Linked DNA regions of Kluyveromyces lactis. The main gene of each other region encodes a partner of the protein of the gene in region 5 in a complex. Links are inferred from orthologs where the notes say so. Each region holds a gene or a part of one and is shown on either strand. Other genes may lie near its edges. The genes, in order: EMC2, EMC5, EMC10, EMC6, EMC4 and EMC1.

Region 1 (5,587 bases), on a different chromosome or scaffold from region 5:
TTTGTTTTCACTTTTATCTCTGAATTTCATACAGGGAAAGCAAAGAAAAGGGATTGGATCGGGGTTCGACAGTCACGTGACTAAAAAAGGTCTCCTTTCCCAGGCGCTGGACAGCGTCAGTATGAGTTTTTTTTATGGCCAAAACCTCATTAGATACTGATTTGAGGTTTCAAGATGAACCACAACCAGACAAATATTGACTGAGATACTGGAGGTTCTCATGCCAGCGGGAAATTTAGTACAGGATTGCTAAAAGAAAACGTTGTTTCAGTCAAGGGTTTTATGTATATAAAGGTTTGTAATTGGTAGTTTTAACGCTTGGTACAACTGTTTTGCAGAAAAACTCGGTGCAGTGATAAGAGTGAGTAAAGATAAGCTCTCTTCCTTGGTGTAGTTTTCGAGTTTGTATTTGTGTACCACTGATGGGAGAGTTACCATATAAGATCCAGGAATTGAAATTGAGAAGAATCGAAGAATTGAATAATAAATTAAGAAATGAGCTAGCAAGGGAAAGAATGACTGCGTCAAATGCTTGTTTGTCCATAATCGACTATACCTCAACCCATAAGGATTACGCTGTTCCAGAAGTATGGGGTTACCCAATGGTTGGTGAAAACCCATATAATAATACTATGAGGAAGAACAATTTTGCTAGATCTCACGAGGAAACGAGTGCCTGTTGTACCATAATGTGATGATAAAAATATTGCTGCCGTATACTCTCTATGCTTATTAGTTACATATATATTTAGATAAAACGAAATGCGAATGCAACAATATTAGATCTTATTCTTTCAATTGACACATACGGAGGGTAAACGATTCCCTCACTTCATCCCAATTGTTTCTCCTCTTTGTTCAACGTTACTTTGTTCATTTTCAAAGATGGATCGATATTACCGTTCTCGTCAGTGCATCCACAGTCGTAATCTTCTAAGATTGTGTTACAATCGTACCTTGGTTTTTCAAGATGATCGTTCACTAGATTATGAATATGACAGCCCCATAAAGCAGCAGTGGTTCTACTGGCTACTTGTGGTGGGTATTTCTTCAACATCTTGACGAAATGGTAAGAACATTCGCCACATGGATATAACTCCGCATATAGGTAAAGAAATTCACGTAGTTTCGTTTTCTCTTGCTCTGTAGGCTCGTCGGGAAATCTGGCTAAAAGAGTGTGGAAATATTTCCATGAAGCCCGCCCCAAAGCCTTTTTCGCCTCCTGATCAGGCATCTTCGGCATAATCGTACCTGATGCATCATCGTTCTTCGCGTTCGCACTTAGTCCTCCAAACAGATCGGATTTGGTACCACCCAACGATGGTGACCCCTCAATAGGTAGCTGGCTATTAGAAAATGTAAACCATAGCAAGCCTATCATTAGAAGCGTAGTTATTGTAACGATCCGCTGCTTATGCAGTCCTACCTTTAGCTTGATTGACATATCCGTTGTTCAATCTGATCAAGGAAAGTATGCTTTTAGAAATAATAGAGAATAGCAGAGGGATAACAACTCTGTAAGGTGTATGTACGGCTCCTCGGTAGATAACTTTGTTCCCATATTGTTACACTAAGGTGTCAATCACGTATTAATACATTCCTTACTACTTTTACGATCTTCCAATATTTTTCGACTGTAACCTTTTTTCTATTGATATTGAGATTTATAAGAATCAATATTCCAGCATGCAAGACATCTCTTAATTGAAGATTTGTGGTGGAAAGGAAACGTTGCAAAAAGGACTACGATCATTGTTTCAGCCCCTGATAAAACTTCAAACTAATTAATATTCCCACTGGATTACAAGCGTTGAACGTCATTTTGTTCTCACGCTAATAGCCAAGAAAATTTGCATAGGGATTAATTTCACTAGTTTTATTATACGACAGGAATCTGAGCGATCAGGGGAAATACACATGCCAAAATGAGTGATAAGAGTCAGCCTCAGAACAATGCCAGGAACAGAAGATCTCTTGGGAGCGGTATTCCTATGATACAGGTTAACCAGGCTCGTGAAATGTTTCAGGCTACGGTAAGGGCGCGTCACCCCGGCAATCCGCAGCAGCCAAGAGAAACCGAGATACAAAGTTCTATGATGCGCACGACCAATACTACTGTCGGTGGTACCACCACGAACTCAAGTTTCCAAGATACACAGTCGGTTACAGTAGCCACTAGCATGCCCAAACCGAGCTCCAAGCGCTCTCACGAACATGATCATAAGCACACTCATACACACCCACATAGATCGAATAATCCGAATAATCCAAATTGTGGCCATTGCGGTACAGTCATTGTTCCATCCCCTGTAGCCACAATACCAGCGAAAGATGACCCATCTGTAAGTGTAGGTGATTGGACTATCACCACGACGAAGAGGCCTATTCTTTCTAGTGATGAGATCGACGATTGGACTGAGAAATTGAAGTTCCCAATCCCAGAAATGATTTTTGGTCATTCCAGCGTTGAATTGAAGAACACCAAGACTCATTGGTGCATACGATTCAATCCGTTCCATGCACTTAGTCAAGTAAAACTTGGGGATTCTGGGTTAAGAGTGTCATATTCCGAGAAATGGATCAATTCCAAACTTAAGAATAGTCAAGTGACAAACACAGAGGAAGGATTACAATTCGGAAAACATTGGGATTGGTCCTATACGACTTTATACAATGGGACTGTGTCAGAAGATAGTGAATACAAGTTTGTTGTGGATAACCAGTATCAGCTTCCAATAGAAAAATTAACAAGAAGAGATCCCATTTTATTCTATGATGATTTCATTCTATTTGAAGATGAATTGGCAGACAACGGTATCAGTATGCTTTCGATAAAACTTAGGGTAATGGCAGAGAGACTTCTTTTATTATGCAGATTCTTCCTAAGAGTCGATGAGGTCTTGTTTAAAATCATTGATACAAGAATATATGTCGAATTCAATGAGGACCTTGTTGTACGGGAATGGAAATATATGGAGGATGATTACAAGACAGTATTGAATAAATGTAGATTAAATTCAAACGATCCTAAGAAATCTTTGAGAGACAGCAACTGGGTTGCGTCTGTATTACCTTTGAAGGAGCGCGTATGTGAAGTATTGAGGAAAAAAGAAGATATAGAAGAAGTTGTCGAATAAGCACTCACCGCTACTGTCGAATTGACAGCACTTTTGGAAAATTCAAGAAAGAGTTGATTTGCTCATTCATGAATCTACCTATTTAATTATGTTACCCAAAAGGAATAATATACAAATCTCGTAATACATGTGATAATATTATATACACACTATTCAAGTTTCTGAATCCAAAAGGTATCTGGATACGTTAGTGATTTCTCTGTTATCATTATTTTGCTGAAGTTCTTGCAATTTTCTTACAGCTAATTGAGTTAATTCAGGTTTTTTATTCAGTTTCTGAGATGTCTTCAATACAATACCCCAACCTTTCACGTAGGCTTCTGCCAACTCAACAGATCTCAACGCATTTGATAAACTTGATTGCAAAGCAGCTTCAGGGTCAGAATCTGATTGAGACTTCAAGTAATGCAAATAAGCTAATTGACCAAATGCTTCATAACTGAACGGCACCCCAATTATGACTTCTTCCATGCAATATATTGCTTGACGTAGGTCCCCAGCCTCCTGGTATTCTTGCGAAAGTAACGACCATATTTCTGCATCTAGAGGAAACTTCTCAACCAGATCCAGTAGTTCTTTTACCCATTTTTCTTTACTCATCGAAGGTCTCTCTATCGCAAGTAGCCTTTTCTTCATCTGTACGTAGTCTTCTGAATCAGTAGCTATTTCCAGCTGATTCTTGATCAAATCCTCGATATATTTCTTAGCCGCATCATCGGATCGAGTGACCTGTATTAACATAGAGTGCATCACATGAATTCTTGGAGAATCGTCACCTAGACGATCTGTCACAGTTTTGTACAATGTTTCAGCCTCTGTGTCTTCACCACGAACAAGACAAAGATAAAACAATAATTCGACCATTGAGAAATAACTAATTTCGTCAAGCCCATTTAACCCAGCATCTATCAAAAGTTTCGTTTCCTTATAAGCCAAATCAATTTCTTTAGGTGGCAGAATGGCCCATGCGCCAGTCTTATGGATTGCCAGTAATTTGTTCTTAAGTAAATCCATGATATGAACAAAGTTAGATTTCGACCCTAAGATGTATGTGAGATTCGAGCACAATTTCAACACAGTAAATTACTCACTAAATTCCACGAGCAGTAATTGTATTGAAGGTATTCAAACATTTAACACCACCATACGTATCTCACCCATGTTATACCCTGTAATATGTCTCTTACAGAACCGATGCTTAAACAATCACAGAGCCAAATGAATCGTTGGAGCTAAAGCACGTGACACATGCTCCGTTTCGACATGTATTTTCATATCACCATAAACGACGAAAATTTTTCAGGAATCAAGGCCTCAGTATCTGATTGCCACACGCGAAGAGTTGAAGTTGAACTTCTAAGAGATGAGATGAACTTCTTCCATATACATGATTCAAGAAGGCGTTAATGACCCCGTTTTACAGTCCAATACAGGATCAGTTCGAACTTACTTTTAAAAGTTTTTGTGTTTTCCAGACTTGAAGAACGTCAAAGACACGGTGGTAGCAGAAACAAGTGACTAGAGATTAGTAACAGTAGCCGAAGATGTCAATCAATATTTGCAGAGACAACAATGACCCTTTCTACCGTTATAAAATGCCTCCAATTCAGGCTAAGATTGAAGGTAGAGGTAATGGTATCAAAACTGTTGTTATGAATACCATGGATGTTGCCCGTGCTTTAAACAGACCAGCTCCATACATCATCAAATATTTCGGGTTTGAATTGGGTGCCCAAACTGCTATCAATGTTGAAAATGATCGTTACATTGTCAATGGTGCTCATCAACCAGCCAAATTACAGGACGTATTGGATGGTTTCATCACTAAGTTTGTCCTTTGTGGATCCTGTAAGAATCCTGAAACTGAAATTGTTATCACTAAAGATGGTGATTTGGTTAGAGACTGTAAAGCTTGTGGTAAGAGAACCCCTATGGATTTGAGACATAAGTTGTCCTCGTTCGTCTTAAAGAACCCTCCTGACAGTATGAACGGTTCCAAGAAAAAGAAGAAGGCTGCCACTGCGTCTGCTAATGTCAGAGGTGGTGGTCTTTCTATTAGTGATATCGCTCAAGGTAAATCCCAAGCTGAAGCTGGTGACGATGCCGAAGAAAACGATTCCGATGATGATGAATTGGCCAGACAAATTAATGCCGCTGCCTCTAACTTGGCTACCATTGAAGTCAAGGATGAGGACTGGGCCGTTGATATGTCTGAAGAAGCCATCAGAGCTCGTGCGAAAGAATTACAAGGTGAAGCTGACAAAGAAACTGGCGAATTCTCCAAGTTGGAAGAATTTGGTGAATGGGTACTACATGAAGAAGAACTACCTACCGATATTGAATTATACAAAAAGATTGCAGAACTCGAGCTTCTGGAAGATCCAAAGGTTGCTGCAGTTCTGGCCCAAGTTCTTTTCGATGAAGATATCGTATCGGATATCTCTGAACAT
Region 2 (4,856 bases), on a different chromosome or scaffold from region 5:
CATCGTTTCAAAGATGTAGATGAAAATATCAGATCCCTTGCGATATCCTACTTGTTAGATTGGATTGAAAACAATCCAGACTACTTTTTTAAGGTAACCTTCCTCAAATACTTCGGTTGGTTGCTATCTGATAGCAGTAATTCAGTCCGGTTACAAGTTATAAGGTCCCTTCATGACCTAATTAAGTTCTCCAATAAGAGAAACAAAAATACTGTCGATAACGCTGCCCTAAGACAATTTTTCGAAAGATTCAAAGATCGAATGTTAGAAATAGCTGGCAGAGACATCGATATTCAAGTAAGATTAACCTCAGTTCAAGTACTTTCGTCGATTAATGGGTTGGGTTATCTGGATGACCATGAAATAATAGACATCATTAGCTTGATCTTTTTTGATCATGAAGTAAAAGTATCTTCTTCGTCAAGGGACGTTAAATTCTTGAACGAGGTTACCAAATTCTTGGCAAACATTGTTTCTGAAAAAACGGAAGAGTTTCTAATAAACAATGAAAGGTTTAAGGTTCCGGTAATTTCGGTAACGGAAGAGCAGTTTGTTAAGGTGGGTGTGTTAATGAGATTATTACACAATTCATTGTTAAATCATATCAACTCCACTAGTAATTTAGAAGGTTATGCAAAAGTACCACCGGACAAAATCAAACTCTTACAGCAAGCGGCGGAATTTTTATCCCCCAAGTTTTACAACTTAATTGAAACTATATCAAAACTACTCTATGAAGAGGGAAATTTCGATGGCAGCACAATTCATGCTGATGCAGATGATTTTTCCAATGATCTGGGTGATATCAAATTGTTCCTACCAGAAACTGATAACAATGTCCTATTTTATGCCACTGTGTTGGGCGGCTTATGCACAGGCGGCATACAGTACAACAAAGGCCAGGACAGACAAGCCGTGACACAGTTAATTCTTCCAGAGTTAGAAGATCTTTTCAAGAAAATGAATCTTGATTCTGATCAGATATATACTCAACTACTAAATGTAATACAGCTATTAAACACAGAAGAATGGAATTCCAGTGAATCAAAGGATGTCATTTTTAATATCAATAAAACAATAACAAAACGATTTGAAAGCTCTCCAGTGGTTTTGAGCAACGCAAATGCCATTACTAAAACCTATAAGAGTTTAATTCCATATTTGGCATCCCTTCAAATACCAGAGGTAACTGGTTATTGGAAGTCATGTCTGATTAACGTGACATTATCATTCAAGAAGTTTATGGAATCATTTGACATAAAATCTGATAATTCAATAACAACATTATATCTGCAATATGTTAACAAACTTGTAATTTTGGGTAAGGAGTTCGCAATTGAAATTTCAGAAACGCTTTTGGATGACATTGTTGAAAAATTCTTGAAGCCGTTGAGTGAATTACTACCAAAGATTGATTCGGATGCCATATCTGTCCTAGATTTTAAGCTTTTCACCTCAATAGTTACTTGGAATTTAGCAACTTGGAGAGATGTTATCAAAAATAATGAAGAACCTATAGCTGTTTCACATACTACGCTGAATCAAATTAGAACGGTATTAGTCGAATTGCTGAATCTTTCTTCAAAGATCGATTCTAACCCTGAAATACAACACGACAAGAAATTCCATGTGCTTCATGTAATACTCTCTCCATTGTTAGATATTATCATTGCATTCAAAATGTTTGAGCTCGATTTGTCAGAAAAGGATTCCGATTGGATAAGGGCGTTAAGGCAAGAATATTCAGTTATCTCTAACGAAGATCTAACTGGTATTTGCCACAAAGTTTTCCTCTACCTTGAGAGTTGTCTTGGAAAATTTTTGGGAATAACTCTAGATCGAGTGGCTGATGAAGATGTAAATTATGGCGCTGTCAACTTAGTCGATGTTGATGGAGATCCAGAGAAGGAGCTTTGTATCTATACCATTAAATTGAAAGGCCTCATCAAACTTGGAATTCTAAACTATAGCGATTTAACTACAAGAATTGGGTTAAACCAAGAGAAATTAGGGCCATTATTTGAGAGTGTAGTAAGCGAAACGGTTTTCGAAGATGAACCGAAAAATAACGCTGAGAGCCATCCTGCAGCCAAATTAAACCAAGAACCAGTACCCCAACAATATGATGAAGTTCTTGAACCAATTGAGGAATTCACTCAGGATGAAACAGTTCATTCGCCTCCGCACCCTGCAGACCCCATTGTTTCATCACCAATCTAATCTTATTGGGGATCCTACGAAATGAAATTCCTGCGAGTGCATTTAAATCAGTTTATTTTTTTTTTTGGTGAATTGTGTTAAACATAATACATAAAACCTATTACATGGCTATCGATAACCTAAGCTCTCCTCAATCATGCGGCTGTGTGTCAGTACTGCATGCTATCTCTCTTTTTTACCTAGATAGTTTCTCTTGTCGGAAACTCTATAACACTCAGAAAAAAAAAAAAACGGAAAGGTTATTCAAGAATACCAAACAAAATATAGGTAGTATAAGGTTCAACTGGACAGATCTAACATAAATAGGCTTTGTTACTTTACTTAAATACTACTATTCACCGTTTTATCTTGGAATCAACAATGTCAATACTTTCCAAATCATTCTACTTTATAGCGTGGATACAGATTATTCATTCTGGTGTGTCCAGCTATGAATTTCATCAGATTGTGAAACATATCATTCTAGAGAACCCAGACGCTAAAACTCCAGGTTTACCAGATGACGTAAAATTGGAGGCACTATGCGGGTTATTATTCTTTATTTTGGGTACATTTATCAGTCAATCCAAGCTTAAGTACCTTAGTATTCGTGGGGAGGAACGAATAATTGAGACAGATGAGTATCTTAAACCTATCGAATTGAACAAGGCGTCCAGTACAGATGTAGTGATAAACAATGATCCTTATGGGGAAATAAACTACCTTCCTTCATTTGTTGACATCCATGCTAAGAGGAAACTGTTCAAAGAATACCTTCATCGCAGTTTGTGAGTTGATAAAGATTGGTAACTTAAACGCATACATATATATAATATGTACTGGGGAATTACATAATATAATGACTTTGCAATAATAACTAACGGGAGTAGATACAGGGCCGATAGCCAATATAGGCACTTCACCAATCACATTAGGACGTCAGTTATCATTGTGATTGTACGTGTAAAAGGGATTTGGAGGATCCTGTGTACTCTGTGTACTATTTTGTTCAATGAATCGAGGATCTGATGATGCAGACTGTTTATATCGCTGAGGTGGCGTCATCTTATGCAATGAGTGTGATAAAATATCATTCCGTGTCGCACTTGGGTTAGAAATGCCTTCTATCTCTGCTAATCTACTCATTTTTGCAGATGATTTCAAAAGATCTTGATGTTGCGTCTGTATCTCGCGTTGGAGCTTGTACTCTTCTAAATGTTCTTGTAGCTCGGAAATATCATCGGAAGTCAAGGATAAAACTGTAGGATCACGCCTTAGCATAATGGTTGGTATTTATGCCGATTCTATGTTATAATTCTACGTTATGCTATATAAATTGACATCTTAAGAAACTTGACTGCTTTTGTGTTATTAAATTCGGTTGATGAAATATGATGCGAAAGGAAAAGCAAAACCTTCACATACTATTACAAATGAACGTATCTAACACAATATGACGCACATGCAACTCTAAGATCTCTTACTCGATACAACATTTTACCAAATCACTTAAAGAAGGAAGGAAGGAAGGAATGAGCATATATGATCACACTTGGACAATGTAGTTGACCATACGGCGAGTCAGAATCTACAAATTTACATAGCCTTGTTGGCGCAATCGGTAGCGCGTGTGACTCTTAATCACAAGGTTGGGGGTTCGAGCCCCCCACAGGGCTTTCCATTTTTGTCTATTTTATGAATGAATCCTAGATTTTTAAACTTCTTTTTTTTTATGTCTGTAATTTACAGACAATTTCAATGCAATTCAAATTTGAAAACTTATACGCATAACGATCAATTCTTATGGCATAGAGAAACTTAAACAGCTCAGAGTAGCCTGCTTCTCTTGTATATAATAACCAGCCCAATCATCTCTTTGCAGGTTTGATTTTTCACAGTTGAAACCATAGTACGACCTCTTAGACACAAGATTTTTTTATCCAAGTTTCAAATTTGAACTTCGCAGTACCGGTTTACTAATTGATAAAAAATGTCATCCAGTATGAATGGTGGAGACCACAACTACGAAGATAAGCATGCGGGGAATTTTCCAACTTGCCGTATTTGTATGCTGGAAGGAACGTCCGATAATCCGTTGTTCCATCCATGCAAGTGCAAAGGCTCCATCAAATATATTCATCAATTATGTTTGATCGAATGGCTACAGTCAAAACATGTCGATGTTACAAAACCTGGTGCAGGGATGGTATGTTCGATTTGTAATCATCCAATCGCGTTCCAAACTTTGTATGATGAATCAATGCCAGAGAAGATCCCACTTCTACTTCTTCTGAAACATAGCGTTTTCAAAATCTTTGGCAAATTAAATCACTATTTCAAATTCACATTGATTGCGTTCCTTTTCTTCATTGGAATTCCCCTGTCCTGGAATATCTGGGGGAAGCTATATACGGCTACTGTGGATGATTTTTCATTTCCTTCAAATAACAAATGGTATATCAATTTGATTTATGGCTTTGAAAGAAACATACCAAAAAATCCAACAACTACGGATATTTTATATCAACTAGTGATAAATTACAGATTTTCGTTGTTACAAATTCTGATGGTTTTGATCGTGCATGCTATCGCATATTTACAATATGATATGGTAGTCAGAGAGCCAATTTTCAATAAGATGATCTTGCATAAGATTG
Region 3 (5,358 bases), on a different chromosome or scaffold from region 5:
GGAACTAGACCAGTGCTTTTCTCGGGTAAAGAGTTGCTTGATGTCTCATCCGTTTGATTAACTGTCATTGAGTCAAAATATACCATGTTATGAATCGGCAATTCATTTAAAAGGGAGGCATCATTATTCACCTTCCCAATCGCTTCCGAGGCTGAATTCAATTCCAAGTCAATTAAAAATAGCAGATTTCCCGTTTCATCTACTACAGGCGCTCTCCATAGAAATAGATCACCAGGTTTGATCGATTTCCCGGTGGGTGATTGTATAAAGTCCGAACCAATCAATTTCTTAAGACTAGATATGAAGTCTCCAATAAACCTTTCTTCTACTGTGAGCTCAAAGAGGGTAGTTTGAGAATCCAGTGGTTCAGCAGCGTGATACATCAATTGACGCCTATCCTTCGCACTATTTTTAGGTTTTAATAGGTATATGCCATGATCAAGTACAGTAGCCGAATACCTGTTGAATATATCAAGGGCAGGACTCAATTTGCTGCCGCTTCTATGGCATATTATGTTGTGTTCAGATAATTGACCAAGCAACGGATTGAATGAGCTAAGTTCACATAACTGTGGTAGAAACAGTCTCAATTGGTACTTGCAGGATTGTATTTCTCTAACTTCAAGATGGAAAGGCCTCGATAGTGGACGTTTAGGGCAGATGTATTGTATTTCTACCTCTCTTGGTTTATGTGTAAGATCACAAGTGCAACCATCTACCAAAGTTTCGCTAAGATACACTCTACCAGTTTTACTCTTAGCAAAGTGATAATCAATAGTTGAGTTGTAGTTAGATGAGTTCCCTAAAAGGTACGTTTCGCCAAAATAACCTTTTTGCACAACAGTCCTCGTCTCACCAGAGGATATAATATAAGTCCAGTAAGAAATAGGCACTGTATTCATTTCAATAGGGTTTGGAGCCAAGATCGCATTAACCATGTTAACTGCTTCAATGAGAGCTCCTTCAGAATTAAAAGTATCTTCTTCATGATGTTGAATCAACGACGAAGTGTTCCTTTGGTAACACAAAACATCGGACCCTTCGTAGGGGCGGAAAAGCCGTCCTTCTTGGAGCAATGTCTCATTATCTATTACACTTAGGAACTCTTGCTCATCAACGTATTTTAGCGAATAAGGCGTAGAGCTATATGGATTGAATGCTGAGACACCTGAATAAATCCATGAGATAGCAAACACCACCGACGTAACTGGTAAAAATATCATATAAGGCGGCAGATACACTAGCTACAATCAACCTCTGACGAATTGACAACAATGCGCCAACAAATAATAGCTCCGTATATCATTTTTGTACTTTCCACTAAGTAAACTTAAACGTTTGTAATATAAGAATCCAATTAATCGAATTAATCCAATTTTAAACCTTAAACTGAATAAATGTAATAATAAAAAGGATGAATCTCACAGCATAGACTGGTGTTTCCATCATATAACACAGCGGAAAACTGGTTGGATTTATCTTCAAATAATTAGCTATGCTAAAAATGATTCAATTGTTACTAATACTTCTGTTTCACTTGCGTGCGGTAGTGGCATCTCTACAAGGTACTGGTGATCTTTACTTATTGAACAATTTGAATGAAAGGTACAGCCTGGCAACTTTCGAAGCTGGTGATGAGGTAGGTATTAACCTGGCTGTGACAGCCAATCGAATTACAGACGGTGAATATAAAGTTTGTGGGACTTTTCAAGATTATTACGATGAGTGTTTCTCTTTCATCCATATAAAGCAACCATTGTCATACGAACTGGAGCTGGTGGTACTTGATGATAAACTAGTTCGTATGTCGATTCATGCAGATGATAGTATTGATGGCATCGTACCACTGATAAAGGAGGTTGGAAATGGTCCCATACCGGAAAGTATCAAGTTGAAGAAAAGAACTCTGACTTACGAGGCAAAGAAAAAAGCTCAGAGAAAGGATACAGGGACCGCTGCATTTGAAGAAGATGTTGTAGAGAACAAAACGTTTCTTCAGAAAAACTGGAAGTACGTTGTCATAGGGCTACTCGCCTATGTCTTTTTATCCAGTGGATCACAGAAATAATTTCATGTTTTACCATCTTGCTACGTATATATACGTTCAAGAAGACAAAGAAATGACCAGACGACTGACTTTTATTGCTTGGATAGGATAGGAGTGGTTGAAACATTCAATTAACTCTACGAATACGAAATGTATTACAATTAGTGACATGGATTATTTTGATGAGCAATTTGCCTTGAGTTTATTAATTGAGTGCTCGATGGAAAGACTGAAGTGAAAGATTTACCAATGTTGGCTTTTTAAAAGGATCGAAACTAAGCAACTCCATTACTCACTTCTTATCAACAATCGATCATGCTTTTCTCATTTGCACTGTAACACTGTAGTTGCTGTTACGATAATTCACTTTGCACTTGACTTTCCAGTCAATTAGACTGCCAATCAGCTTCACGATATCATGCACAGTAGTGTTTACTACCAACTCGATAGAACTGTATCCCACTTCACATCTTATTTAATTTATTTACCTGTATATCGTCATAAACAAGTAATGAATGAATTTAAAACTGTTGGGCATTCAATCGTAAACCTCACATCAAACAGTATAGAAAAAAAAGGGAATCCTTAAAAGCCAACCATATCCACATAGCTGTTAGTTTTCGCGGCAATGCAGTGGCATATCAGTGATTACATCAATCCGGTGACGGTACAGAGGTATCAGACTTTGGTTACATCTATCTTGCCAAAAGCAAAAGTATCAAACGATATATCGCTTTCAGGTTCACATTTATTGTTCTTCCATCCAGTAACAGCTGCCCTCAGCGAAGACGGATACTACTCGTACCAGACTCCTGGTGCTATATTGAAACGTGAAGTGCCCTTTCGGCGTCGCATGTGGGTTCAGGGATCAATTGAGTTCAAGAAATCACTGACAGATGGCTGGTACAATTGTCAAGAAGAACTTAAATTCATCAAAGAACTGAACAAAGACCATTTCGTAGGGTTGAAGAGAACTATACGAGACGAAAAGGGGTACCTATATGTTAAAGAGTTAAGAACGTTGATATATACTAATCAAAAAGTCTCAGATAAAGTAATAACCAAGTCCGAAGATTACAGTACCCGAGAAATCATCAATTTGGAAGATATCGATGTCATGGTTTACAGTTCGATCAGTTCGAATCCTCATAGAATACATTGGGATAGGGACTATTCGCGCAACGTAGAGGGATACCGTGATGTTATAGTACAGGGCCCGTTTTTGGTTCAATTGGTGATCAACTATTTCGAACAATGTTTTGGAAGACAAGTCTCCAGCATAAAATACAAGAATACGTCTCATGTGTATGCTGGCACAGATCTTGAAATCTGTCACAATGGACTCGGGAAGGATGGTCAAATCAGTATAATATTGAGAGATCCTAAGGATTCACATAAGGTTTACTTTGAGTGTAAGATAGCTTCATGTATACATATAGAGTAAAAGTACAATCATTGGTGGTTGAAATGAGCCTTCTTCTTTCCTGGGAAAGATGCAAGAGCGGATTCAGTACTCTGCCAATGCCGCAGTTTGTTTGCTGGTTTTTGATCAACATCTATTATCGTAGCCTTGACGCTCCTTGTATTGCGGGACCAGGTCAAGAAACAGGTCACATCTCTTAGCGTCATTAGCGTTGACAAATCATCTTTCACAAAACGCTGAGCAGCATAGAGCCTCTGTGTAATACTGTCACTTGATTGGAGATACTGCAGAATGTCATCAAGAAATTCTTCTGGCACTTGGCGTCCTGCAAACAGCGTTTCGATAATCAGCTCCGGATCATGTAAAAAACAGTACTCAATATCTCTTCCCTTCAGCGAGTTATGTGTACAATTCCTACAATAATCACTAGATTGATACAACCACTTTGGCTTGAATTCCCAAGTAATAGCATCATTCAATGAGCATCGATAGATTTGATTGAAATGGTCCAACTGTTCACATGTACTATCCTTGGCATGCAATAAAGGCATGACTATGCATTGCATATGACTATCATCGATTAAGATATTCTCATCTTTCAACACATTAATCCATTTTGTATCGACAAACACCTCTTCTAACCTCATGGAAACAACCACATCGGCCAACATAGGAAGTGACCTGATCTTGGAATCGATAAACTGGAAGTTGTCCTGCACATATGCATTGTTCCTGGAAAGTTTCTGGTGCCTTAAGCTGATACGGTACACTTCACCAGAAAGGAGATAGCAAACATTAGCATTGCCTCTACCAACGAACAATAGAGTCATACCATAGTTTCACACAAAGAACCAAGGCAAACCCAAAAAGTAGGTCATGTGTTTAATCGTGGTGCAGCATCGTTTCTTTGACTTGTCATCTCGTCACCAGATTAGAGATTTATAAAACTAAAAGGCTTTACCTTTTAGGAATTTTTCACTTCTCACCGCATGAACTTTACAACTGTAAGAACAAGACGGTATTAACTCTGATCTATAACCTGATTCACCACATTATACTTAGGCGATTGGAGCTTCATTGTTCAGAAAGAAGTGCTCTACCAACTTACCTACTAACTTACAACGAAAAGATGTCCAACATTGACGGTAAATTACCTGACATCTTAAGCGATGCTGTGTTGAAGCAATCTGTTCCAGTGCCTGATAATTTTGTTAAGGTCGAAGGTATTGATTACAGCAAACCAGAATCACGCAACATGCGTTCTAAGGATTTAATTAAATCGATGGCTACTATGGGCTTCCAGGCGTCTTCTTTGGGAAAAGCCTGCGATATTATCGATGAGATGAGATCCTGGAGAGGTGAACATCGTGACAAGTTGGAAGAACATGACCGCAAGGGTTCTTTTGACAATGATGGGTACCAAAAGACTACTATCTTTATGGGTTACACTTCGAATTTGATTTCTTCTGGCTTGCGTGAGACTTTACGTTTCTTGGTTCAGAATAAGATGGTCGATGCCATTGTTGCAACTGCAGGCGGTGTTGAAGAAGATATCATCAAGTGTTTGGCTGACACTTACCTTGGTGAGTTTTCTTTACCTGGTAAAGGGTTACGTGACCAAGGTATGAACCGTATTGGTAATTTGCTGGTTCCTAACGACAACTATTGTAAGTTTGAAGAATGGATCGTTCCAATCTTGGACAAGATGCTTGAAGAACAAGAAAACTACGTCGAATCTCAGGGTAAAGACTGTTTGGATAGCAACTTCGATCAAGACTCTCCGGTATGGACTCCTTCCAAGTTGATCCGTAGGTTAGGTAAAGAGATCAACGATGAATCCAGTGTTCTATACTGGGCTTATAAGAACGATATCCCAATCTTTTGTCCT
Region 4 (4,811 bases), on a different chromosome or scaffold from region 5:
ATGTCCTTTTAAGTGTTGAAGACGACGGGAGCTTTACTATGATTCCTGCGGATAAAGTCTACCGTTTCACTGCAAGAAATAAATATAACACATTGACCATTGAAGAAGCCGAGAAAAGGATGGAGAAGAACAAAGAAGGTGCTCCTCGTTGGTTTATGAAGCATTTGGACGAGTCCAGTAAAACAACCACAAGATATGATAGAACCTTAAGAAGACTTAGAGCTGTCGATGGGAACACAAGACAGGCCGAAGATGATGAGGACCGTGGAGATAACTCAGAGGTCGAATTGGATTACGATGAAGAATTTGCGGATGATGAAGAAGCACCAATCATAGACGGTAATGAAGAAGAGAATAAGGAATCGGAACAAAGGATCAAGAAAGAAATGTTACAAGCTAATGCTTTGGGATTACGTGACGATGATGGGGAAGAGTCAGATGACGAACTATTTGGAGAGAAAAAAATTGACGAAGAAGGTGAAAAAGTCAAGAAAGCCCTCCTTAAAACAGATCTGGGTGCTTTATATGAATCTGATGCAGAAGAGAACCCATATCTATCACACTCTGAGGAAGATGAAGAGCAAGCTGATTCGGATAAGAAAGATTCCGAGAAGGATAATGAAAAGCAAAGTCGGAGATCCTCACCAAAGAAGAAAGCTTCTGACACACCATCAGGTCCACCAAAATTAGTAGTAAAAAGCATTAATCAAAATATCGTTGTACTAACTGGTGAGAAATCAGTATTATCGAACTTCCCTGCAGGAGCCTGGAATCCAAACTTGAAGAAACGTCCAGCAGAGTCTCAGCCACAAGAATCTATGGACAATAAGAGGGCAAAGTCTGATCACTCGGCAGATGATTTGTTAACGGAAGACGATATAATCAATGCAATTGAGGGCAAGCAGTTGACTTTGAAACAATTAATCAGACAATTGAAAGAAAAGGTCGGTAGACATCCTGACAATAAAGAAAGAATGAAGGTTTTTGTCAAGAAACTTGTTAAACTGAACGGTAAATTCCTCGAATTGAGTAAGTAGTTAACATAATTTCCTCGTTTTCAAACCTCTGGAGATATACATGTAGTGATAATTGATATATATCACCTGGGTCCAATTGGAAGGGGCAGGAAATAGCATATTGATATAGTCAGTTTATTAACAATAAGTACGCTTAAAATAAATATATGTTATTTGAAAACAAGATATCTATAGGAAGTTATCATTTATAAAACTTCGACGATAGCATCGTCATCATCGTCGGACTCTTCTTCTTCTTCTTCTTCTTCTATCTCGGCTATTTCGCCATCTTCCGCAGATTTGGCCACGATTTCTTCTATCACTTGATTCTCCGGCTCACCTCTCATCAACATGTTAACAATTCTATGAGATAATTCACCGATATCGTCATTTCCAATATTTTTATGTAACTCTCTGACCAATGGGTATACTGATTTCGATCTTAAGTATTCTCTGCCGGCTTTAGTGGTACAAAGCAATAAAATACTTTCTAAATGCACACATATGATTTCAGGAATAGGATCTCTCTCTTTGTCGGCAGGTAAGAGTTGCAATTCATCCGGTAGATTGAACATATCTTCTTCATCAATTTCGGAGTCTTTAGCTGATGCAATCGGTAGAAGAATATAAGGTAAAAGATTGATTTCCTCATTAGTCAAAAGGTTTTCATGCTTTTCGGAATCAAATAACGAATTCTTGATGGTATAAGCCACACCTTCTCTTCTGGTTTTAGCATCATACTTTTCAGTGAATACCAATAGTTTAGAAATTGGGATGACGCCGTCATACTCCTGCTGTTCAATGAAATACTCTCTACCAATCTTAAATCTCGAAATGTCGGCAAAGAAATAAGCTAAGTAGTCATAAGTGGCATATCTGTTCAACTTTCTATCGTAACCCTTCACAAAACAATCCATTAAGCAATCCATTACTTTGTTGCTTTTAAAGACTTCTATGTTTAATGGAATACCATCGTCTTCCTTCTTAACAAACGAAAACAATTCGGTAATATTGTCTTCCTTGGCGAGATTAGACAATAAAATACACATGATATCCGCACTTGCGTTAGCTAAATCACAGATTTTCCACGATAAGTACTGTAGGAATTCAGTATCCTTGACGATCAACTTTCTCATAGTAACATCATCACATAAATTCGCTAAAATCGTAGTGGATTGTTGAACGATAACTTTTGACTTATCTTTAGCTAGAACTTTTAGATCCTCTATAGCTTTGTAATTATTACATTTGAAAATGACAGCACTTGCTCCAGTTGAGAAGCCAACCAGATTATCAAGAGCAATCTGTCTGACGGCAGGCTGGTCTGAATGCAAAAATGACACTAATTCTTCTAATTCCGTGGACATCTTCCCTCTTTATCGTATCAAGTAAACGCAGATATTTCGAACAAAGATGTTTTATTGAACAATGAAAGTTATAGTTGATTAGCTGGTGAACAATACCTAGTTACACCAACTGCCAACGTAGATATGGTTGATGCGATGAGCTGCGATGAGTTTGTCAAACGTTTCTCAAGTTTCGTGAAAGAAAAGGTTCGACTCTTTAAGGCGGGTAACAATTACATCAGCATCAAACCGACAATAACAGATCTCCATCTTCAATTAAATGAATAGAACCACCGTTAGAAACAGAGCTTTTCAATCTGCGATTCGATTGATCCTTAAGTGCTGCATTTATCATAATAAATCACTTTTATTCTAGTCTTGGCTTATTGCAACCAATTGCAATCATAACTACGAGATAACAGCATTGGAAAATGAGTTATCGCTTCACCGACCTAAAGTCTTCCAAAAGTGGAAGTTTCAACAACAACAAACTACTACGGATACAGGATTCTACAATGCTGACAGCAGGACTTAGTGCTGGGATATTGCAACTTCAATCTTTTGCAGGTTTTGGAATGTTTTTTGCTGTTTATATCCTGGTGAACCTCATATTTATAGCGTGGTTTTGCAAATTCAAGCCTAGTCTATATTTTACTAATCCAGTGCATAAAATATGGGTTAAAAATCTATTCCGCGAGCTAGCTGGGTTTGTCATGACTTGGACGTTAGCGTTCACTTTGGTCAGGTAACGCATATGACACATTTTGCATTAACGGGTTGATTTCATCTGAACGATATCACCATTAGGATTCTAGAAGTACTATAATATTATGGTCATTAAAACTTATAGCAGAGATAAATATTTGCATGTATTATAAACAGGATGATGATAAACAATATGTACATTTAAAGGATATTAATTTATTAGGTAGTAATCTGTTCTCAACAACAGATTTTAGAAGATATTAAGATCTTCGTGAGAGATATCACGGGGATACAAAACGTAAGAAATGGCAATCTTCATCAATAGAATGATTTAGAAAGTGAACCAGTTATTAGGGAAAGAAAGCGTGGTTATCAAATGCAAATATTCGAGGCAGAACAATTTTTTTTGTCTTGCTTTCCCAAGTTGAGGCTGACATACATCTATATCTGAATTTTTTCCACCAAAGTTGCTAACTTTTCAACACTAGCCAAATGCCTGTTACCCAAAGTGTTATTTTTATTGGATTTATCCAAATAGGATCTGATGGAAATAACAATCAACCTCTCATCTTCACCAGTTGCGACACCCACGAGCTTTTGAACAACGTAGTTCGCGTATTGATCCCGCATCATTAGAATCAATGGTGCATTATCTTCCAAATCAGCGGCGTGCTCTTCGTCTCTTGGTAGAATTTGATCCAAAATCTGTCTTATCTGGTTTTTGGATCCGTAAACTACTGACTTTTCAACAACATTGGAGGCAAATTTGTGTTTTGAATATTCAACAACATTCTTACGAATGATATCGATGATATTTTGTTTACTCATTCCTATGTGACTGCTCGTATCTTCAGTTCCATGCTGTAAAATATGCTGAATTACGTAGTTACCGTATTGATCCTGGATCAAGAATGGGATGAATTCATCCAAGTCATTCAAAATATCATCTTGGTCCTTTAGAGTTCCAAATTCCAATAGTCTTTGAACTACACGGCAACCGTAAGAATGCGTTGATAAATGATAGATTTGTCCTCTTAAACTTTGGAGAATAAATGGTAATTTTTCAATCGGAATACACTCGATGGCTTTTTGTATAACATGGTTACCATTCTGGTCTTTGATCATAGCTAAAACACAATGGGAAAGTTCAGATACGAGATCAACCTTTTGATCTTCATTTAGGAATTCAAATGCCTTTTGTATAACACGGCAAGCATACATTTCTAACGACAAGTTCTCCATTTTGCCTCTGAATTGATCCACTAATACCTCCCTTTGTGTTTTTGTACCATGTTCAAAGAATTTTTGAATGACATAGTTACCGAACACGTCATGAGATAATGGTATACATTGGTCTCTAATCTCATTGAAGATTACTTCCTTATCAGCATCAGAAGCTGTTGCCAATTCCTGTTGGATAAATCTGGAACCATGTTGATCTTTACAGAACTCTAAAGCGGAGCCGTAAATATCGCTAAGTTTGTAAACTTTATTGGAAGAATTGTTCCTGAATTCCTCCAATAATGGGGATCTAACGATAGGCTGTTTGTTATTCTGGCGAGCATTTTTACCTTGGCGACCCTGTTTGTTTGCACCTGAACCTGAAGAACTTTGCAAAGTGTTTGGGGGCACTGCCATACCTGCCCTACTTGGTGGCGGAGAGAATTGTGAATATTGAGCCTTACCTGCGTGCAGGTATGGATTTGATTTATTTTTGCCAGAGTATTTAGAATCGTTATTTCTC
Region 5 (3,046 bases):
GTATGTATCGATGTATAGATCTAAAGTGGTCTCGTAGTACTTAGTCTTCCATTGCACATCTCGTGCAATAGATTCTGTTTCGTCATATTGCTTTTGGAATATAGTTGATATGAATGCTATGTGCTCCTGTATCTCCAAGGATTCGGGAAGCAGTATAAGGACTTTATGGTTATCCATCGCGAATACAATAAATTACTATGGCCAGTCACTCTCCAGGAAAAGAATCATTGTAAGAGAGCATGATCATCTTTTAGTGATTTACTTTTAGTTCCTAACGGCTTTGTCCTGGCGACAGAAGATATAATTTTGATGAAAATATTAATTGTGCTTTCCAGAGTCGTACCTGCATGTAGTCATGAGGCACATATAAACAGAAGAAAAGCTCCTATAAACATGCAAACAAGGAATTAAATGTGATGTGAGTATACCGTTACCTTTGAAACTCTTTGGACCTAAATTATTATTTGCCCAAAAATGCGCCATAATCACGTAGGCAGTGTTTGTCTGTCTTTAATTCCGTTTCTTAAAAAAAATGACAGAATTACCAACGAGCATAACTTTAACCACAACTTCCCCTCCTAGGATGATATTTTGCTCTTCAAGAGACTATGATGGTTTTGAAATTATCCTTGAGACATTGTATAATTGTGTTCAATATAAAAGACGTATGCAGTTCGAGGTTACTTCTTTTGAGACTTAGTAAAGTTTCTGCATAAGCCTTAAAAAGCATAGACAAATTGAATCAATTCTAAGCACACCGATGGAGAAGGAGATACAAATTAAAAATTACGAGTATCAATCTTCAATCCAGGAAGAACCTTTTCCAGGTCCAGCCGAGGCAGAATATACCGTGGAGAATGTTGATAATGTCGATGTGATTGACGAGCCTGACGATAACGATTTACAGAGTATTCTTTGGTGGAAAAAAACTGCCATAATTATTACCATATCATTTTTTCTACAGCTTTTTGGTGTCATATTGGCTTTGATTCTAATATGATGCTTACTCCTGTCTTGTGCAAGTTTAAAAATACGCTCAAATTCATTCACATCAGAATTCCAATTAGTTGAAATTATTTGTCGCACTGTATATTTTCCTTAACCCTTTTCATGTATATATATATATATATGTCAACCATTGTAACTTCAGACTTTTATTTTAATATTGTGAGTTAACAATAATCTAAATAATACTGAACTGCTCCTGTAACTGCTTCGAACGTGGCTGTTTTTTGTTTAATCACTTTATTCTCTTTCAAAACAGTGATTTTTTACTGACATTAATTAATGTTATTAAAAATAAGAAATCATGAATTGATAGTTTCAAATACGTAAGAATTCACCAATGGTAAAGATTTATGATTTCCTCAAGAGTGAAATTGGACTAATAGACAAGCTTCAAGAGGGAATTATGTCAGAAGATATCCCACAATGGGCGAAAGATTTGAAAGTTGACAAAGTGATGAGGCGAAATAGTGTCAATGGTGGTAAATTGCCGGATCCGTTTGGAATAAAGAAACTAGAGATCGAAGGACAGAAGCCCCCTAAGGTGATAGATCATGACGCTCAAAATCGTATAGCCAAACTCACTGCAGAACGGGCATGGCAGATATCTTCTGAGCCTCTCAAATCTGTTCCCATGAATATAATTATGTCATATATGTCTGGTAACAGCTTGCAAATTATTCCTATAATGACTGCTGTGATGTTGGTCTCAAATCCCATCAAAAGTATCTTAGGAGTTAAGTCAAAATTTCAACATTTAATCAACAAAGATAATGATGTAACCCCGCCTGTAGTTGCAGCCATGATTATGTACGTGATATACCAATTAATCCTCATGGGAATAGGTTTGCATAAGTTGAATTCAATGGGATTGTTCCCAACTACGTCAAGTGATTGGCTTGCTTGGCAACAACCAACGGAGTATTTATACCGTACGTTAAGTATTTAATTGAATGTAGCGAAATTAATACATTATACAAAAGGGTCTATTTGCTAGTATTGCTTTGGGTAGAAGCCGGGGCAGACTCTGCAGTAGTAGGAGTAGTTTCTTTATTTTTATGCTTCATTTCGAACAATTCCTGAACGTTATATTTCTTGTAATCAGTCCGATAATCTTTATCTACAACACACATTCCGATGTTGTTTTTAAAGCATTGCAACAGCACAAGCTTATCATAATTCTTCAAATCAACTTTATGTTCTAATGAACCTTGCTTTCCTACGAATCCAGCAATATATTTAATCATTTCCATTTTATCCATAGTACTAAAGTTTCGTTTGTTGATCTCTACTGCAAATTTTACTGGCACCATCTCCTCTTTGTGGAAGTGCTGTGGTAGTACTCGTTCACAAAGTTTTGCCAATTCTTCCATACTGGCATGACATGAATCGGTAATTGGTGTTAGTTTCTGCACAAATCTTGTTCTTTTCCTCAAGTCATGTGGATCGGCTAGATCTCTGATGATTCTATGAACAAACTTTTCTGGAACAATCGGTTTTCGGGTCTTCACAAAGACTAGACACTCAGTCTGAAGGTCGAGCTGCTCCAATATTGGTTTGTTTTTTTTGGTATCGACTATGGTAGTTTTATGGTTTTTTAGTCCTTCCAACTCTTGCTGAAGTTCCTCTTCAATTGAAATCTCTTTCTTCGACTCTGTTGTGACGGGTTCTTTACTTTCGATTTCGATGGATCCTGAGCCATCAGGAGAGGCCGAGTTCATGGCATTGAGCTCATCAGAATAGTACTCTTCTACCTTTTCTTCAAAAATAGAAAGAATTTCAGAGGCAGCGGCCTTCTCTTTGTTTCTTGCACACGTTATGTAGATTCCTGAAGTGTTAGGATCTAGAGTGCTTTTGACAACTTTATATCTCTTAACGATACCTCCTTTAGAATCTTTTCTGCTTCTTTTTGCCATCGTGAGTGATTGACTTCAGGTTGCTTCCGTACGTTGTTCACATTAGGTTAACTTAATGACTTTCCATATGATGCCCAGAGTATCTATTTTCTTTTGATATAAAATTTCAATGGCATTATGTGTTG
Region 6 (6,701 bases), on a different chromosome or scaffold from region 5:
TGAAGAATACGAATCTCACTTTGTTGACTTGGCTAAGAAATTCAGAGGTAAGGTCAACTTTGCTGGTTTGGATGCTTCCAAATTCGGTAGACACGCCGAGAACTTGAACCAAAAGCAGCAATTCCCATTGTTTGCCATCCATGACACCATTAAGGACTTGAAGTACGGTTTGCCACAATTGGCTGATGAAGAATTCGCGGCTTTGGAAAAACCAATCACTTTAGCCACTGAAGAAATCACCAAGTTTGTTGAAGATTTCTTGGAAGGTAAGGCGGAACCTATTGTTAAAAGTGAAGAAATTCCAGAAATCCAAGAAAACTCTGTCTTTAAGATTGTTGGTAAAAACCATGAAGAAATTGTCCGTGATCCAAAGAAGGATGTTTTAGTTGAGTACTACGCTCCATGGTGTGGTCATTGTAAGAAGTTGGCACCAACTTATGAAAGCATGGCTGAATTTGCTCATGAAAATGACGAATTGAAAGATAAGGTCTTGATTGCCAAGATCGATGCTACTGCCAATGACGTTCAATCTGTCGAAATCCCAGGTTTCCCAGTCTTATACTTGTGGCCAGCCGGTGAAGAAACTGAACCAATTCTTTTCGAGGGACCAAGAACTGCCGAAGCTTTCCTAGCCTTCATCAAGGAAAACGGTTCTCACGGTGTTGATGGCCTTGCCCTTTACGAAGAATACTTAGTTGAAGTGGAGAAGAAGAAACAAGAAGAAGAAGAAGCACAAAAGGCGAAGGAAGTTGAAGAAGTGGCTGAAGAAGATTCTGAACTAGAGCAAGATGAATTGTAAATAAACCCATATCTCGTAACCCATTTTACTACCTCTTATTTGTAAAAGTTCTAACCTCGAACATCAACAAAAGTTGGTATCGATATTTTATACATATGTAGTATACCTTTGAATAATAGATTTATCCGGTATTGCATATACTTTATGAAAACCCTTCATGCTATTCTTCCTTCTCGGCGTCATGTGTTGCATATCGTCTCTAAATGGGTTTGAATTCATCTTTATTTCAAGCAATAAAATTTAATCACGTGACTTAACTCCGAAAAAGTATCACCAACTACGTTGCCAATCACATTTTCCAACCGGGACGAGGGCCAACATAAGACAACTCGAAGAGCACGTATCGGATTACTAAAGGTTCAAACAAAGTGAACAAGCAGCAAGGACAGAATTGCGAAGTAGATGGCTATATATACATCCGGAACTCAGTCAGATAATTCTGAGCCTGTTGGCAATGACCCCAAGTTTTATACAAGACCAAGTCTGGGATTGAAACTATGGGGACCATTAGTGCCTAGTTCGGATAACACAACAGGATTGTGGTCATTAGTTGCAATTCAAACAGGACTTGGGTTATTTCTAATGCAAAGGTTTAGAAAATTGGGAAAGAAATGGGTGAAACGAGATATTGCCGATTTTCCTAGTTTGAATAGATTCAGTACCACACACGGTGATATGTACATGACTAGACATATTCCTGTTCAATTCGGGGGAACACATTCTTTCAATATTCGAGTTGGTACACGTACCGGTTTTTGGTATTCAGAGAGATTTAGAACTATTAGACGTGTTACTTATTTATTAGCGGGGACTCTAATACTCTCGCAGTCTATGTTAGAGGTTTCAAGATTGACCCTTCTCAAATACGATCCCTGGGTAGAAGAAGCAAAATCAGTTCGTGAAAAGCAGTTTTTCAATGACATCGTCAAATACTATCACGAGGGAGTTGATTCAACGAAATTCAAGGCCAAGGATGAATTATCAGGACAGTCAATTTCCCTTAACTTACCAGAGGTGAAGCAAAGTATCGCCGTAGCGAGAGCACAAGCGCAGGCCGAGAATTTGGTAACTAAATGGTTCGGACCGTTGGATTATAAACCACAGTCATTCTCTGAATTCTTAGACAAACTAGAATACTACCTGAATATGACTGATTTTCTCAACAATCTCAGACGTCAAAAGAAGAACGATAAGATAAATTCTCAATTGGTAAAATTAGAAGAAGAAAACAAGCGCAATAGACAGAGAATACATACATTGATGGCTCATGCTCCGGCACGGGCTATCAGAACAAATCAAGAAGTGCAGGACATATATGCAATTAGAAAAGTTCTCTTGCATCATGATACAGAATCACCAAATGATATCCCACTAACTGAAATATGGGCTATTTACAATCCTTGGACAAATTTAGCATTAGACACCGCATTAAGCATTAAGTTCTTTCCTTCGGTCATTTTTAATGAAGACTATTATGAACACCAGAAAAGACTCAAAGATTCAGAGCATGTTACTTCCATAGAGAATAGCGAAGATGAGAGAAAGCCATAATTGAATATCATACACGTTTGTATTACACTAACAGAAAAAATAACTGACTCAATTCATGATTTCAAACTGTATATAAGAATCGTTGTACAAATTTAATCGATATATAGCTATATCGAGACTCTCATACTGCCTTTTTTTTGTTTCCTTGTTTGTGTTACGAAAGCTACGACATATTTCCCACTGTAGTAACCATTTTTTACTACGATTATTATTATTATTTCAAAGAAACCAACAATAGCCTTCGAATAAAATAAGCCTAAACTAGTGTCCAAGTAAAGAATTAGTTAAAGTTTATACACTGGACCTTCGATCTTGCCATAACGGAATCAAATCATGTTAACCCTTATATTTACGTTGTGGGTACTTCTGCTTAAATCCACAGGGGCTGTATTTAATGATGAAGCGTTTCACGTGGATTGGCAAATCGAAAACCTAGGTGATATCAAATGTATTGACAAATCAGACTCGTCATTCGTGGTCTTAGGGGAGACTCCCACTGGCATCCCTGTAATTTCACTTTTGGATGCGGCTTCAGGAAATATAGTTGAAAGGTTCGTTCAGGATGCCTCTGTTGCTGCCATGAAAGTTGTGGATGGAAATATACACTTGAATACTGGTCAAGTTTTGGATAGTTTGACAGGTTTCCCTAAGTCAACTCATTCAGGCCAAGTTGAATGTCGGAAACTAGACATTCAATCTGTTACCTTGAATAACAATACACTGCGTTTTAATATTTCCTCTTCAGAGGGGGATGTGGTAGTCAAAATTCCAGAGACCTTCAGAAAGATAGAATACTTTGGCCTGAGCAGTGATAGCACAGTAGCGGAAGTATTGATATCTACAACTAATAAAGAATATTATTACACTAGATACGAAAATCATTCCCTGACTGCCCACTGGGAAAGAAATGAGGGCTACTCTGATATTATCGCATATACTGTCCTTGATGAAACAAATCATAATTTAGACTTTGTTAGGGATGAACTGCTCCACGAACAGCAATTGAGCCTAATTGACGCATATAAGTTCCGTGTTCAAAGTAATTGGGAAAGACTAAAGTCGTATCTTATCCGTAAAAGATTTAATCTGGGCAGAATGTTTGCCGATTTGATAACTGAAGATGATTCTTCAGCACTGCGAGATCTAAACGTACGATTTGGTTTTGCAAAGCAGCTTGTCGTCGCTTCTAAGTCAGGAATTATAACATCTCTGGACATCATCTCTGGAAAGAAATTGTGGAGTCTGCAGTCAAATTTGAAGGACATTTTGAAATTGCGCCTGAGGAGTGAAAACGAGCTTTCGATTGTTACGCGTTCTAGTATTTATTCTGTTAATCTCTTAGAGCAACCGCTCGGATTGACACCCGAAAATAAGGCTCCCGACGGTTTTCAATTTGATGCGAACAGTGAATCACCTATTATCAAACTAGTTAATGTCAAAAACAGTTCTTTCAAGATATTCAACGCTTCCCACATTGGAAATACTAATATTAGTTTCGTCCATTTTGAAGAGCAGAAAGTAACAGGGTATGCCCTTCAGGGGGATGCCCTCTTACCGACCTATCAGAGAAACGTAGGGGGGAATGAACGTATTGTTGGTCATGCTGTCAGAGATAAAGGCCACGTTCCAGGTTTAGGTGCAATCCTAGGAAACAGAACTGTATTATACAAGTACCTCAATCCTAATATTGGAGGCTATTTGATGGGCAATTCTGTAGAGAATTCCTTGTTACTAGAAATATTTGACACGGTTACTGGCCAGACTCTTTACACTGTTAAGCATGAGGAGTTTGTGGACTTAACCTTGCCAGTAAACCTTGTGATAGGAGAACACTGGTGCATATACAGTTATTTCAGTTCAGCTCCAATACCGGAACAAAAGCTTGTAGTCGTTGAGTTTTACGAATCGCTGGTTCCTGATGAAAGGAGATCCCTTCCAGGGAGCTTAGTGAACCCGCTAGACGATATTGTGAAACCGGCAACGATTAGCAACGCATATTACTTCCCTCAGATCATACATTCACTTGCATTATCCAAAACTAAATTTGGAATTACTACGAAAGCTATACTTTTACAATTAGATGATGGGTCCATTACATATCTCCCCAAATATGTTGTCAACGCAAGAAGAAAACCAGAGTCTGATATGACAAAGAAAGACAAAGAGGAATTCATGGCTTCTGTTTATGAACCCACCATACCAATTAATGATTTTTCAGTGGTTAGTCATCTTAGACAGATTCTTCCTTCAGATAAATCGAAATTAATATCAGTTCCGACGAACTTGGAATCCACTAGTATAATATGCTCCATCGGTAATGACATCTTCTGCACAAGGGTTTCACCATCTTCTCAGTTTGACAAACTTGGAGCAAGCTTTGAAAAGAGTAAGGTTCTTTTCACCATTATGGGCTTATTCATCTTATGCTACATCCTCAGACCCATGGTGGACCAGCGCAAGTTGAAAGTGAAATGGTTGGTCAAAGACCTTGATATTACATCTATTTGAATACATGTATAATTCTAAAATATCTGAAAGTTGCATTTGCATCGCATTTTATATGTATTTAATCTTTTGTTTGTCACCTTCAAAAGTTAAAGGCAGACCCTATTTTCAATTAATCTTTTTATTGAATGGCTAATCTCACATATTATTTTTATATCTAAATAGAAAAGTGAATGTACTTCTTGATCCAATTATAACAATAGATCAGTCTTGGGTTGGGAAAGAAGCCATGAGCTTCGATTTTCTAAAAGTTCTACATCAAATAGATCACTATAATTGACTAAACTTTCGAAATGAAGTTCACTACTGGCCTTTCTGTTTTATTGTTCTTTGTATTGCAAGTTTTTGCAGAAAAGTTGACCGAATTAGTTGTTGGAGTGACCAAGGAGCCTGTTGATTGTAAGATCAAGGCATCTAAGGGTGATGTTGTCTCTGTGCACTACACTGGTAAATTGAGGGACTCTGGTGAGATTTTTGACTCATCGTATAATAGGGGAGTACCAATTCAATTTAAGTTGGGTTACAGTCAAGTTATTAGTGGATGGGATCAAGGTATTTTAGGAATGTGCATCGGTGAGGGCCGTACCTTACATATTCCAAGTGAATTAGGGTACGGTTCTCGTGGTGCTGGAAGCGTAATCCCACCAGATGCAGACTTAATTTTCGAAACCGAACTTGTTGATATTCAAAGAGAAGCTGTTGACGATGAGTTATAGTAACGGATGTAAGAATCCTATGACTGGTACCATTTACTCCTATTAGATATATCGTCTATGTTTCAAAGCTCATATTATCTTTAGTACTATTAATAAATATCTAATTAGATGCAAATTCGGAAAGACGCAGTTACTCCGAATAACTACTTCGATACAAATGTAGATCATATATCCGAAAACAGATGTTGTGCAGTCGGTTGCAAGTTTTCGAAAAAGTCCTGGAAGAAATCTTCGAAACTATTGAAACGGTTCACATCTGGAATGCTGAATGTTTGTGGTATCTCACTGGTTTGTTGAAGACCTTCAACTCTTGCAAATTCATTAGGCGAAGTTTTAGAATTTGATGAGTCCGGAGACGAAAACATTTTCTTTTTCCCAGTGTCTATTAGAGATTTGATTATTACTGCAACATTTTCTGTTGCCTCGTTACGTTTCTCTCCAATTGCATTTAGGTGCCAATAAATCTTCGTACATAAGTTCAAAGTCTGTTGTCTTTCCTTAGCGTTGAACTTATGTAGAAAATCGCATAAGGTTAAGCATGCATAAACCACTTGGTTTGTTGTTATTATTGGAGCTCCTTTTATCAGTGAAGGTGGTAGTTTCAAAAACCCATGTAGTAAGGATACGCAATATTGTTTCATTGTCAGTAGAATTGAATCCAGAAACTGGGTATTTTGTGCTAGTGTTTGCTGGTAAAACTCCATGATGAAACAACGACAAATCATAACGTAGAAAAAATCATAAGAAAACCAAAGTATACCACCATTATCTTTAGATAAGAGCTCTTCCCAGTTTTTCAACCAGTAATCAAGTTCTGGAAACACTAAGATAGCATCATCATTTCTGTCTCTGTTGCCGCCCTGCTTGAAAATATTGAAAAAGCTCCAAAAATAATTTTTAAAGTTCAAGAAGATACCATTGACAACATCGCTAAGATTTATTTCACTTAGCTTAATGTCATCTCGAAAATTAGACTGTGGAAACTTAGCTATAAGGTTGTTAAGTTCTTTGATAAACGGATCTTGGTTGGTAAAAGTGCCAAATCCGATTGAAAATTGAAGATTACATGCAGTTAGGGAGTTGAGTATTCTCAAGTGGTAAAGGTCTATTCCATTGTACTGCTCTTCAAG

The links.
Region 1: the proteins of EMC4 (region 5) and EMC2 are in contact, whole or in part, in a cryo-EM structure (PDB 6WB9), measured with the Saccharomyces cerevisiae proteins. The link is inferred for Kluyveromyces lactis from reciprocal best matches to the Saccharomyces cerevisiae genes EMC4 and EMC2. Residues at the interface, in NP_011283.1 of Saccharomyces cerevisiae: Gln4, Glu5, Pro6, Tyr7, Trp9, Ala10, Lys11, His12, Leu13, Leu14, Thr16, Tyr18, Ile19, Glu20, Tyr22, Asn23, Ile24, Gln25, Ser27, Thr29, Leu30, Pro31, Ser32, Pro33, Pro34, Gly35, Phe36; in NP_012621.1 of Saccharomyces cerevisiae: Glu146, Leu149, Lys150, Val153, Thr156, Asp157, Trp166, Tyr173, Phe174, Glu175, Met176, Gly177, Gln178, Phe179, Glu180, Lys181, Tyr184, Cys185, Glu205, Tyr208, Tyr209, Leu212, Arg213, Leu241, Lys242, Ala245, Leu246, Ile249, Glu253, Lys280.
Region 2: EMC4 (region 5) and EMC5 share a complex: the UniProt entries of both Saccharomyces cerevisiae proteins name them as parts of the ER membrane protein complex. The link is inferred for Kluyveromyces lactis from reciprocal best matches to the Saccharomyces cerevisiae genes EMC4 and EMC5.
Region 3: EMC4 (region 5) and EMC10 share a complex: the UniProt entries of both Saccharomyces cerevisiae proteins name them as parts of the ER membrane protein complex. The link is inferred for Kluyveromyces lactis from reciprocal best matches to the Saccharomyces cerevisiae genes EMC4 and EMC10.
Region 4: EMC4 (region 5) and EMC6 share a complex: the UniProt entries of both Saccharomyces cerevisiae proteins name them as parts of the ER membrane protein complex. The link is inferred for Kluyveromyces lactis from reciprocal best matches to the Saccharomyces cerevisiae genes EMC4 and EMC6.
Region 6: the proteins of EMC4 (region 5) and EMC1 are in contact, whole or in part, in a cryo-EM structure (PDB 6WB9), measured with the Saccharomyces cerevisiae proteins. The link is inferred for Kluyveromyces lactis from reciprocal best matches to the Saccharomyces cerevisiae genes EMC4 and EMC1. Residues at the interface, in NP_011283.1 of Saccharomyces cerevisiae: Gly163, Ile165, Ala168, Lys169, Gly170, Asp171, Leu173, Glu176, Arg177, Ile178, Ala179, His180, Tyr181, Asn182, Asn183, Gly184, Leu185, Gln186, Trp187, Phe188, Ser189, Asp190; in NP_009884.1 of Saccharomyces cerevisiae: Ser381, Ile383, Arg384, Leu385, Asn386, Ser424, His425, Ile426, Phe427, Val428, Thr429, Glu430, His431, Tyr463, Lys465, Arg466, Leu471, Leu474, Gly475, Thr477, Asp480, Lys481, Val483, Tyr485, Leu488, Tyr489, Pro490, Asn491, Leu492, Thr512.

The regions. Positions count from the first base shown.
Region 1 is NC_006041.1:552,977-558,563, reverse strand, and holds EMC2 (Emc2p), read right to left. Parts: upstream 4,152-5,587; coding exon 3,291-4,151; downstream 1-3,290. Other genes in the region: STE18 (Ste18p), read left to right, coding at 423-695; ERV2 (flavin-linked sulfhydryl oxidase), read right to left, coding at 833-1,444; TIP41 (Tip41p), read left to right, coding at 1,926-3,137; TIF5 (translation initiation factor eIF5), read left to right, coding at 4,682-5,587. UniProt on the Saccharomyces cerevisiae protein: Part of the endoplasmic reticulum membrane protein complex (EMC) that enables the energy-independent insertion into endoplasmic reticulum membranes of newly synthesized membrane proteins.
Region 2 is NC_006042.1:2,569,779-2,574,634, reverse strand, and holds EMC5 (Emc5p), read left to right. Parts: upstream 1-2,580; coding exon 2,581-2,991; downstream 2,992-4,856. Other genes in the region: cohesin subunit IRR1, read left to right, coding at 1-2,220; anaphase promoting complex subunit CDC26, read right to left, coding at 3,139-3,480; KLLA0_F27709g (uncharacterized protein), read left to right, coding at 4,190-4,856. UniProt on the Saccharomyces cerevisiae protein: Part of the endoplasmic reticulum membrane protein complex (EMC) that enables the energy-independent insertion into endoplasmic reticulum membranes of newly synthesized membrane proteins.
Region 3 is NC_006041.1:1,122,898-1,128,255, forward strand, and holds EMC10 (Emc10p), read left to right. Parts: upstream 1-1,495; coding exon 1,496-2,068; downstream 2,069-5,358. Other genes in the region: YOS9 (Yos9p), read right to left, coding at 1-1,223; hydroxyacyl-thioester dehydratase HTD2, read left to right, coding at 2,676-3,491; IPK1 (inositol pentakisphosphate 2-kinase), read right to left, coding at 3,500-4,300; DYS1 (deoxyhypusine synthase), read left to right, coding at 4,600-5,358. UniProt on the Saccharomyces cerevisiae protein: Part of the endoplasmic reticulum membrane protein complex (EMC) that enables the energy-independent insertion into endoplasmic reticulum membranes of newly synthesized membrane proteins.
Region 4 is NC_006042.1:1,425,615-1,430,425, forward strand, and holds EMC6 (Emc6p), read left to right. Parts: upstream 1-2,793; coding exon 2,794-3,111; downstream 3,112-4,811. Other genes in the region: transcription factor IIF subunit TFG1, read left to right, coding at 1-1,037; HGH1 (Hgh1p), read right to left, coding at 1,223-2,383; mRNA-binding protein PUF3, read right to left, coding at 3,509-4,811. UniProt on the Saccharomyces cerevisiae protein: Part of the endoplasmic reticulum membrane protein complex (EMC) that enables the energy-independent insertion into endoplasmic reticulum membranes of newly synthesized membrane proteins.
Region 5 is NC_006037.1:99,167-102,212, reverse strand, and holds EMC4 (chaperone EMC4), read left to right. Parts: upstream 1-1,345; coding exon 1,346-1,954; downstream 1,955-3,046. Other genes in the region: IRC6 (Irc6p), read right to left, coding at 1-177; TAN1 (putative tRNA acetyltransferase), read right to left, coding at 1,992-2,921. UniProt on the Saccharomyces cerevisiae protein: Part of the endoplasmic reticulum membrane protein complex (EMC) that enables the energy-independent insertion into endoplasmic reticulum membranes of newly synthesized membrane proteins.
Region 6 is NC_006039.1:77,808-84,508, reverse strand, and holds EMC1 (Emc1p), read left to right. Parts: upstream 1-2,683; coding exon 2,684-4,858; downstream 4,859-6,701. Other genes in the region: protein disulfide isomerase PDI1, read left to right, coding at 1-799; MGR1 (Mgr1p), read left to right, coding at 1,202-2,350; peptidylprolyl isomerase family protein FPR2, read left to right, coding at 5,149-5,571; URC2 (Urc2p), read right to left, coding at 5,736-6,701. UniProt on the Saccharomyces cerevisiae protein: Part of the endoplasmic reticulum membrane protein complex (EMC) that enables the energy-independent insertion into endoplasmic reticulum membranes of newly synthesized membrane proteins.